3 linked regions of the Oryctolagus cuniculus genome follow. The protein of the gene in region 1 purifies or fractionates together with the protein of each later gene. This does not show direct contact. Links are inferred from orthologs where the notes say so. Each region holds a gene or a part of one and is shown in the gene's direction. Other genes may lie near its edges.

Region 1 (3,649 bases):
CTGTGCTGAGCTCTCCTTTTGGGAACCTCGGTGCCTGAGACTCTTAGCTCCTTGTTCCCTGGTTCATGCGTGGTTCTCTTCTATTGATGTATTCATGTGGAAAAGAGTATGAAGAGCTGTGTTCTCCAAGGCCCACAGTGAGCTAGGGTTTGATAAAGTGATGTTCTTTGTGTCCTCTTGGAGAGGACCTTTTTGGTCTACTGGTTACGTGTTCCCTTTGGGGACTTTGCTGTTTTACTTTGTCCCTTCCCCTCCTGCAGACCAGTCAGCACACGAGCCAGGCATGGAGCTGATGGACCTGCCCTACCGCCTGGTGTTTGCAGTGGCCTCCGAGGACTCTGTGCTCCTGTATGACACACAGCAGCCCTTCCCCTTCGGTTACGTGTCCAACATTCATTACCACACCCTGAGTGATATTTCCTGGTGAGTGCTGATAGCCAAGCGAAGTGAAGGAAAGAGAGGGCATTCCCGGGGCAAGCCTTGGGCTAGGGAGCATCAGTACTCAAGGTGGCTCCTTTGGCCCTCTACTCACCCTCTTTTTTTTTTTTAATGAATTAACATTTAAAGGTAAGCCATTTTTCATTTGCCACAGCAGTGCTTCCTGTTTGTTTTTTGTAAGATTCATTTTATTTGAAAGGTAAAACAAGAGGGAGAGACAGAGAAAAGAGATCTTCCACCTGCTGGTTCACTCCCAAATGGCCCCAACAACCAGGGCTGGGTCAGGCCAAAGCCAGGAGCCTGGAACTCCATCTGGGTTTCCTACATGGGTGCTAGGGGACCATCATAGTTGGGCTTTCATCTGCGGCCTTCCTAGATGCATTAGCAGGGAGTGACTGGGAAGCAGGGCAGCCGGAACTTGAACCAGTGTTCCAGTATGAGATGCCAGCATCCTAAGTGGTGACTTAACCTGCCGTGCCGTGGTGCTGGCCCCCACCTCCTGTTTTGACACCAGTGCATTTTGATGCCTTTCAATTGCCCTGTGAGATGTACTTGAACTCTGATAAACGAGAGAAGGCCCCATGGATTCTCTAGTCATTGGGGACTTGTCAGGCTCTGGGAAAAAACCCTCAACAGTGAGCCCTGCTGTCCAGAAGAGGGAGGGGGCCCCAGAGTCTGTCTCCGAGGTCGCCACCCTGCTCCTGTGGGAGGACCTGATGCACCCTCTGCTGCTTGCTCAGCCCAGCTGGAGCTCTGGCCAAGGCTTGGCCTGACACCATCTGTTTCTTGGTTCCTTTTTTCTTCTTTTAATTTTCTTTTGCCTTAGGAGAAAAAAGGTCATCTCACGTATATTCAGATGAAAGTTAGTAATACTGCACATAGCTGTGGTGACTTAGAACATGGAGATGGGATTGGGAGAGGAAATTGCACGCATAAGGAGCCTCTGACGGTAACAAGTGTTAAACAGGGTCCGCAGACTTTGGTGGCACCTCTGATTTCCCCGTTTTGGGAACACAGGTCCAGTGATGGGGCCTTCCTGGCCATCTCGTCCACTGATGGTTATTGTTCATTTGTGACCTTTGAGAAGGATGAACTTGGAATACCTTTGAAAGAGAAGCCAGTTTTGATCATGCGAACTCCTGATACGGCAAAGAAAACTAAGAATCAGGCACACCAAGGATCTTCACCGGGGTCCAGATCCATAGAGGGGACGCCCACCAGCAGAACCCAGGACTCCAGCAGTCCCTGTACAACCCCACCCCAGGCCAGACAGTCTCCGGCCCCAGCAGCCGTCAAGGACACGCCTCCCGTTCCTGGTGTCGGAAGCCCCTTGCCAGGACCTTCAGAGGAGAAGACCCCGCAGCACAGCAGTCAGAACCCAAGAGCGCCTCCACCCCGGAGGGTCACGCTCAACACCTTGCAAGCCTGGAGCAAGCCAACACCCCGGTGAGTTTCCACGAGACGAGAAATCATCACTGTGAAATGAAAAACAAATCAAACATCCCAGGGTGTTGTGAGTGAAATTCTAGAAGCAATTACTTGCCAGCAAGGGACATTTACTGTCAGGTCCAGTGACAGCGTGCTGGCTCGGAGGCCTCTGTTAGCTCCTCCCCTTCCTGTGTGCCTCATGCAGCCCATGCCCTGTGCATGCCTGGGGACTGTGGTTTGGTTGCAGCCTGTGTCCAGGACCGTAGCCCTCACTCTCCACAGTCCCACGTGCCTTACTCCTAAGCCTGGGCCTGCATGTGTGTTCTCAGAGCATACTGTTTCTGTTTTGAGGCTTTTGTCCCTGCCTTCCTTGGGAAAGCCCTGATCACCCACCCACCCACACCCCCTTGTTGGAACTAGAGTCCTCTTGAAAAACCCATTCAGGGTGAATGTCTCTTTCCACTCCTGGTCTTTGTGGCCCTTTAACCCTTTGCTTGCCATACCCATGACCCCTGTAGCAGGTGTTTCCTCAAGGGCAGGAGGCTGTTTGTTTGTTACCTGTGCTCTTCTGTCTAAGCACCAGGCACTTCCTGATATGCCAGGAATCAAAGGAGTGCCTTTTTTTTTTTTTTTTTTTTTTTTGACAGGCAGAGTGGACAGTGAGAGAGAGAGACAGAGAGAAAGGTCTTCCTTTGCCATTGGTTCACCCCACAATGGCCGCTGCAGCCAGCACGCTGCGGCCGGCGCACTGCGCTGATCCGAAGCCAGGAGCCAGGTGCTTCTCCTGGTCTCCCATGCGGGTGCAGGGCCCAAGGACTTGGGCCATCCTCCACTGCACTCCCAAGCCACAGTAGAGAGCTGGACTGGAAGAGGAGCAACCAGGACAGAATCCAGCCAAGTAAAATAAAATTTAATTTTTAAAAAGAAGTCACTCCTGGCCAGCGCCGCAGCTCACTAAGCTCGTCCTCTGCCTGTGGCGCCGGCACCCCGGGTTCTAGTCCCGGTCGGGGCGCCAGATTCTGTCCCAGTTGCTCCTCTTCCAGTCCAGCTCTCTGCTGTGGCCCAGGAGTGCAGTGGAGGATGGCCTAGGTCCTTGGGCCCTGCACCTGCATGGGAGACCAGGAGAAGCACCTGGCTCCTGCCTTTGGATCAGCGCGGTATGCCGGCCGCAGCGTGCCTGCCGGAGCAGCCATTAGAGGGTGAACCAACGGAAAAGGAAGACCTTTCTCTCTGTCTCTCTTTCTCACTGTCCACTCTGCCTGTCAAAAAAAGAAAAAAAAAATTATTTTACTTTTGAATGGTATGTAAGATTAGACATTTTTATGGGGTGCAGTGTGATATTTGGTATACATGTATATATGTATGTGTGTATATATATACATATATGATAGTGCACTTATCAAATTGCAGCAATTAGTATACCCATTACTTTAAACTTTTTTTGTGGTAAAGACACTCAAAATCTTCTCTTTTAGCCTTTTTTTTTTTTTTTTAGATTTTATGTGTTTATTTGAGAGAATTACAGACAGTGAGAGGGAGAGACAGAAAGGTCTTCCTTCCAGTGGTTCACTCCCCAAATGGCCACAACAGCTGGAGCTGTACCAATCGGAAGCCAGGAGCCAGGTGTCTTCCACATGGGTGCAGGGGCCCAAGCACTTGGGCCATCCTCTGCTGCTTTCCCAGGCCATAGCAGAGAGCTGGATTGAAAGAGGAGTAGCCGGGACTAGAACTGGCACCCATATGGGATGCCGGTACGGGCCCCCCTTTAGCTTTTTTGAAACAC
Region 2 (3,649 bases), on another chromosome or scaffold:
ACAGAATCCGGCACCCCGACCGGGACTAGAACCCGGTGTGCCGGCGCCACAGGCAGAGGATTAGTCTAGTGAGCTGCGGTGCCAATCCAGGGTTTTTGGTTGTTTTTTTTGTTTTTTGTTTTTTAGTATTTATTTACTCGAGGCCAGCACCGCGGCTCACTAGGCTAATTCTCCGCCGGCACACCAGGTTCTAGTCCCGGTCGGGGCGCCGGATTCTGTACTGGTTGCTCCTCTTCCAGTCCAGCTCTCTGCTGTGGCCTGGGAGTGCAGTGGAGGTTGGCCCAAGTCCTTGGGCCCTACACCCACATGGGAGACCAGGAGAAGCACCTGGCTCCTGACTTCGGATCAGCACGGTGCACCGGCCGCAGCGGCCATTGTGGGGTGAACCAACGGAAAAGGAAGACCTGTCTCTCTCTTTCACTGTCCACTCTGCCTGTCAAAAAACAAAAAAATTATTTACTCGAAAGGCAGAAAGTTACAGAGAGGCAGAGACAGAGAGAGAGAGATCTTTTGTCCACTAGTTCATTCCCCAAATGGCTACAACAGCCAGAGCTGAGCTGATCCTAAGCCAGGAGCCAGAATTTTCTTCCAGGTCTCCCACGTGGGAGGGGCTCAAGCAGTTGGACCATCTTCCACTGCTTTCCCAGGTCATCAGCAGGGAGCTGGATCGGAAGAGAAGCAGCCGGGTCTTAAACCCGCGCCCATATGGGATGCCAGTGTCACAAACAGAGGCTTAGCCTACTAAGCCACAGCACTGATCCATGATTCTTGAGTTCTAAGAATGTTTCTAAGTTGGGGCCAGAAGTGGTAGCAGATGATATTACCTTAGTTGTGCTTTGCTAACCTGAGGAACAAGTGTTTTTCACTCTTCACTACCTGTATGTAACCTTTCTTCCTCCTCTGTGTATAGCAGAGCAATGACATCGCCCGGGGCTTTGAGAGAGGACTGGAGCCAGAAAAGATCATTGGAGCGACAGATTCCTGTGGCGATTTAATGTTCCTAATGAAATGGTGAGCGAGACGGGTCCTCAGTTTGTCATTGTGGTCACTTTGCCTGTGACTTAAATTTGTGTGAAGGATGGGGTGGCAATACTGAAAATTTCCCAAAGTAATGATGTGGAATGCCGGGGATCCTTAACCAGGATGAGCTGTGGGCATTGACATAAGGTGAGTACTAAGGTTCGGAACGGACTTGAGCCTTTTCACGCTTGGGTATTCAGCCGGTTACGTTACAGTAGCCCACATGTTGGAAAGAGGCAAATCCAAGGTAGGAACCTTAGAGTCCTGATGAACCATTGGCTCACACAAGTCTGGATGCTTTACTGTAAGACAGTGAATCTGGAGCATGGCACAGGAGTTGAGTGAGGCTTTGCCATCACAGAGAGCCAAGGCCATTGACATGTGGCAGAAAAAATGAATGTTAACAGTGAGCAGCCAAGGCACAAGTGATGTCATCACGTAGAAAGAATGACTCTCGGAAGAAAGTGAAGTGCTGTCCCTCAGCTGGGTTTCTTAAAGGCAGGTTGGTTGATGGTGTGGCCCTCACTGCCTCTCAGTTTTTCCAAGGGTTCTGGGCTTGTGCTGTGTAGAGGGTTTGTGCCCCAATGCCACAAAGGAAGCTGAGGGCCCTACACGTTTCATCAAAGGTTTAATATTTCAACTGGTCAGAATGCTGCCGGGCACTGACCCCAAAACCTGTGTATGGAGGACCACGGTGTTCTGTCCGAAGTAAGGTGCTCTGTTGACTGGCGGTTTCCCTACTCAGCCGTATGTGTTACTTAGGGTTTGCATTCACGTATTAAATTGCTCTTTCCACGCTAATCCAGATTTGAGTCTCAGCTGCCTGTTTTCCCTTTCCTCACCCATAACACTTACCTCTGTGAGTGACCCAAAGGAGATAGCCCTTGTCACAGGAAAATCTTAATTAAAGTGCTTTTCCCTTGATTTAAGATAGTAGTTAAGGAACCGTATTCCTAGATTTTTTGATCACTTGATAAAGTAGGTTGGATAACTGGATGTTACAGCTAAAAATTTTTAAGATTTATTTATTTATTTGAAAGGCAGAGTGACAGAGAGGATGGGGGGAAGGCAGGGGAAAAAGAGAGAGAGCTTCCATCCTCTGATTCCCTTCCCAAACAACTGTAACAGCTGGGGCTGGACAAGTCTGAAGCCAGGAGCCTAGAACTCCATCTGGGTCTCCCATGTGGGTGCTGGGGCTGAGGCATTTGGGCTGTCTTCCACTGCCTTCCAGGTGTGTTAGCAGGGAACCGGATTGGCAGCAGAGCAGCCAGGACCCTTCCTGGCACTCTGCTGTAGGATGCCAGCGTTGCAGGTGGCAGCTTATCCCACTGTACCACAGTGCCAGCCCCACAGCTAAATTTCTATTTTCATACCATACCAGTCCACAATTCTGACCAAAGGGGTCATGAATATTTAAAAGGTCACAAAAGGCTAGACCCTGTTCACTGGGATGATCCAGAAACTGAACTGATGGGTTTACCCATAATTAATAGTGAGGTTCAATTGTATTTACTCACATGCTCATACATAAAAATTACGGAAGCAGAATTAGTATAATTTATTCAGCTTTTCAAACTCAGCCGTCATATTTTGCATCTAAATTTTTTTTAAAGATTGATTTATTTATTTCAAAGTCAGAGTTACACAGAAGAGAGGCAGAGAGAGAGAGAGAGAGAGGTCTTCCATCCGCTGGTTTACTCCCCAATTGGCCACAACGGCCAAAGCTGCACTGATCAGGAGCCAGAAGCTTCTTCCAGGTCTCCCACGTAGGTGCAGGGGCCCAAGCACTTGGACCATCTTCCACTGCTTTCCCAGGACATAGCAGAGAGCTGGATCGGAAGTGGAGCAGCCGGGACTCGAACCGGCGCCCATATGGGATGCCAGTGCCTCAGGCCAGGGCATTAATTCACTGCGCCACAGCACCGATCCCTTGCATCTGAATTTCAGCTACAGATTTCTGTATCTGTCTAATACCGTAGTTAAGCAATATGTACTCATGATTTGTTTACTTCCATTTCTCCTTGAAAATATTGAGCCATAAGGGTCCTTTTCACCTTGGAATCAAGTCCACTGAGTGCGTTGATGACATGAGCGTGTGTGTAGACGGTTTCTCTCCTTTTTGAGTGTCCCCTTCTTTCTCTGCAGGAAGGACACAGATGAAGCCGACTTGGTTCTTGCAAAAGAAGCCAACGTGAAATGTCCACAGATTGTGATAGCATTTTATGAAGAGAGACTGACGTGGCACGCGTATCCCGAGGACGCGGAAAACAAAGAGAAAGAAACAGCAAAGAGCTAAAGGAGGGGTGGGCTCTGTCTTTCTCTTTGTACATAATACATTCACCTCCCTTGCCTCCTCTTCCTTCTGCCCACCCCCTTCTCTCCTAAACACATCCATAAAAAATGTGCTTCTCACTGTGCCCCACAGGGGGAATGTTGGTATTGGTTCTCTGGTAGCCTAACTGATGGTCTGACTCAACGCGCAGTGTCTCCGTGCAGACCAGGCATTTACATACTGTGTGTAACTCCCACGATGGTTTCCTTTGCCCTGATCTCCTCCTCCTGCTCCCCTGTGACCTCAAGAGGAGTTTTAACTTTTTAATCACCTTCGAGTCCTGATCTTTCCAGGGTT
Region 3 (3,460 bases), on another chromosome or scaffold:
CGGACTCTGGCCTTTGTGGCCATCTGTGGAGTCGACCAGCAGATGGAAGATCTCTGCCTCTGTAACTGCCTTTCAAATAAATAGATCTGAAAAAAGGAACTAGAGCTGATAGTGAAGCCTTAGTATCTTACTCCCTCCAGTGTTTGACTTTTGCATCACTTAGTGACAGGATACTTTCTGAGAAATGTGTTGTTAGGCGATTTTGTCTTTGTTGACCATCATAGTGTACGTACACAAACCTAGATGGTTTGACCCACTACACACCTACACTACTATACGGTATATACCATCATTCACACAGCCTGTTGCTGACTGAACTAGACAGATAGCGCTACAGCTCAGTGTTAACCTAGGAAGAGTCTTGGCTTTTGGTAATGGTAGCAACATCCTCGTATTTTAGCAAGGGGACAAGAAAGTTCGATAAGAGGTGCTTAGGACCCAAGACAAGTATCAGTCTACACAACTTGGTTAGAATTTTCTCCAAAAGCTCCTGATTTCCTAGCCAGTATGTTTAAAGTTGTTTATCTCCTGTATATGCATGACTTTTAATTGACCTTGGCCATGTAAATTTCTGTTGAATAAATTGAAATGTCAGAAGCAAGTGAAATCTGAAATAGAACCACCCTGGGATGAAAAGTTGAGCCATTGAGCCTGCTGTGTGTGGACAAGCAGAGTGGTCGCAAGGGGTTTTTGTTTGTTTTTGTTTAGGTCAGTCAGCTAGCAGAGGTAAGGCAAGGCTGAACTAAGTTGAGACTACATGCTGACAGTTAAACTTTTATGCTTTTTGTTCAGCCTGTGTTAAAATATTCAGCAGGACTAGGTCTGCATTTTTGATCTTATGGGTATGGTGGTTTGTGTTAGTACCAAAGCCCATTTGCCCCGGGTGGATTTTTAAATCCTGGTTGACTTTGATCAAGCCTACTATTTGCTTGCTGTTTGCATAGCCCAGGAGTTAGGGCAACATTGAAACCTGGCTGTGGGACATTAGCCCATTGTTTGAGTTACTGCCTTAGCCTGTAGCTGAGGACTGGAAGGTCTGAGTCAATTGTATTAACCTGAACTTGTATTTAAAATGAGGCAAAAGTGCCAGCTTGTGTTCTTTTCTACACCTCTCCCCAGGTGAACTTAGTTTTTTTTCCTTTGTTTGAAATAGCAACTGGAATCATGTACAAAGTGTTGTTCAGCCCGTCTCTATTCTGCAGTCTGGGAGCCAGCTCTAAGGCCTCAGAAGGAAAAGGAGGCTTCTATCCAGCTGACGTTGGAAACGGTTCCAGCAGGGCCCCATACTATCACTGCTCAGGGACAGTTAGAGCACTAGTTTGTTTCTCAGGTGATTGAGGCAGACCTGAACTCCAAGCAGCTTTGGACAGAACAAGGACTAGAAATGGTAGAAGTTGCACACATGTCCCCAGGATCCACGCATGCTCGTTCTCTGCTACAAAGTTCAGAACCAGAGGCGAGCAGGAGGACTGACTGCTGGGAGAAGCAAGCAGACATGCAAAGGGTTACTCTTGCTACCCTGACAAAACAAGTCAAAGCTTGATGGGTCCCCTTTAGTTACCAAGCTTGTTAAGTGAAAAAAAAACAAAACAAAACAAAACAAAAAAAAACAAAAAACCAAGGTTTAGCCATCCATGAAGATGAAGCCTGTGGATTTTGCTAGAGTTCCACAGTTGACAAGGAAATTGACTTCTGAGAGGCAGACATAATCCTGTACCTATGTTTATCCATGGATAGCATCAACCTACAGACTTCTTGGTATTCCCCCCGCCCCCCACTTCAGTAGGTCTGAGCTGCTTTCCATCAGAGCCCAAGGGTGAGGGTAGGAGACTTTAGGGAGGTGGGTATTATTTTTTTCTACAAGGCACTTGGTTAAACTACTTGTCCAAGAATCCTGAAGAGCAGCAAGGTCTGGTTTTGTAAAACAGGATGAATGAGGCCTGCCCCCTCAAAGAAGCAGGGCTCTATGGAAAGTAGCCTCCCATTTATGCATTTGAGTAGGTCCTGCTTTGCTTCCCCCAGCAAAGCTGAGGGAGTTAGCCATGGCGGCTAGGTCCTGACATTAAGTGATGTCTAGATCACTATTTACCCCTTAGCTTCATTGGGGAGATCCATACAGGGCAGAGGGTTAAACAGTGGGTCTACAGGGCTGGTGCTGTGGTATAGCAGGTAAAGCCACCGCCTGCCATGCTGGCATCCCATATGGGCACCAGTTCGAGTCTTGGCTCTTCCACTTCCTATCCAGTTCTCTGCTATGGCCTGGGAAAGCAGTAGATGATGACCCAAGTGCTTGGGCCCCTGCACCCAAGTGGGAGAGCTGGAGTAAGCTCCTGGCTCCAGATCGATCCAACTCTGGCCATTGTGGCCATGTAAGGGAGTGAACTAGCAGATGGCAACCTCACTCTCTGCTTGTGTAACTCTTTCAAATAAATCCACCAATCTTGGGGGGGTGGGGTGGAGTGGGCCTGCATCATCCCACATACATGCGTGGAAGTCAGTTTAAATGAAGCCCAGGTCTTCAGAAGCAAAGCAGGCTTGCCTATACCCAGCCAAGCAGGTCACCAGAGTGCTTGGCCCTTAGTTAACTCTAAGGTCTGCTCCTCTCTGCCCCCCTGCAGGACCTCACTCCCTGGATGCATGCATAGTGGCGGCAGCCCCTCCACAGGCCTTCCTGGAGTTCTCGCATCTTCTTGCTGCCAGGAAAAGCCTACAGGGCTGCAACACCCACTCTACCTGCCAGCAGCAAAAGGAGGTCAGCCCCGCAGCAGTGCTGACCAACCTGGCCCGAGGCCCTGACTAATCAGTGCGATCCCGGACAAAACACCTCTAAGGGGCCAATACACTCAGCTCCAAGCAGGGAGAACACCGCAAGGGAAAATGAAGGAACTGTGTTCAAACCTAAATTTCCTGAAGTTACAAAACAAGCCTAATTGTGTACCAAACAAAAACAACAGCAGCCTATTCTACACATCTATGAACAGAAAACTATTGCCTGAATTTTACTTGGTTACCCTTTAGGGTGGTTTCCTTTTTTTTTTTTTTTTTCCCTTTAAGAATCCTACTTTCTTCTGGTCTACGTCAGCCAACTCCAAAGTAAGAGAAAGCTATTTGACAACTGACCCTTCTAACCGAGTGGGAAAACCCTGTAAATTAAAGCATATGAGTAAGAAGTGAGTGTTTTCTTAGAGTTCCTCTCCATCTCTTAGGACAATCCTACGAGCATTAAAGGACCGAGATGCTGAGACGAACCAGATTACACAGGTAGCTGCAAGTTCATGATCACAGCCTGTACCTCTAGACTCTGCAGCTATGCCCAGGAGACTGCCAGGGGAGCACTGGCCACACACTCTCTGGGATGGGCACTTGGGACCTGCAGCATCCAAGAGGCACCAACCACAGAGCCCCGCGGCTTCTTGGAGGGAGATTCTCGTCAGAGCAGCTTTTCCAGGACGTCTCCAGG

Evidence for each region.
Region 2: the proteins of CHAF1B (region 1) and CBX5 purify together in Homo sapiens (affinity purification with mass spectrometry; 8 studies listed by BioGRID and IntAct, with this or other methods). This does not show direct contact. The link is inferred for Oryctolagus cuniculus from reciprocal best matches to the Homo sapiens genes CHAF1B and CBX5.
Region 3: the proteins of CHAF1B (region 1) and CBX1 purify together in Homo sapiens (affinity purification with mass spectrometry; 4 studies listed by BioGRID and IntAct, with this or other methods). This does not show direct contact. The link is inferred for Oryctolagus cuniculus from reciprocal best matches to the Homo sapiens genes CHAF1B and CBX1.

The regions. Positions count from the first base shown.
Region 1 is NC_091435.1:8,449,403-8,453,051, reverse strand, and holds part of CHAF1B (chromatin assembly factor 1 subunit B), read left to right. Parts: intron 1-260; coding exon 261-423; intron 424-1,455; coding exon 1,456-1,884; intron 1,885-3,649. UniProt on the Homo sapiens protein: Acts as a component of the histone chaperone complex chromatin assembly factor 1 (CAF-1), which assembles histone octamers onto DNA during replication and repair.
Region 2 is NC_091442.1:57,182,237-57,185,885, reverse strand, and holds part of CBX5 (chromobox protein homolog 5), read left to right. Parts: intron 1-910; coding exon 911-1,011; intron 1,012-3,165; coding exon 3,166-3,316; 3' UTR 3,317-3,649. UniProt on the Homo sapiens protein: Component of heterochromatin that recognizes and binds histone H3 tails methylated at 'Lys-9' (H3K9me), leading to epigenetic repression. In contrast, it is excluded from chromatin when 'Tyr-41' of histone H3 is phosphorylated (H3Y41ph).
Region 3 is NC_091448.1:24,353,095-24,356,554, reverse strand, and holds the end of CBX1 (chromobox protein homolog 1), read left to right. Parts: intron 1-2,618; coding exon 2,619-2,796; 3' UTR 2,797-2,849; downstream 2,850-3,460. UniProt on the Homo sapiens protein: Component of heterochromatin. Recognizes and binds histone H3 tails methylated at 'Lys-9', leading to epigenetic repression. Interaction with lamin B receptor (LBR) can contribute to the association of the heterochromatin with the inner nuclear membrane.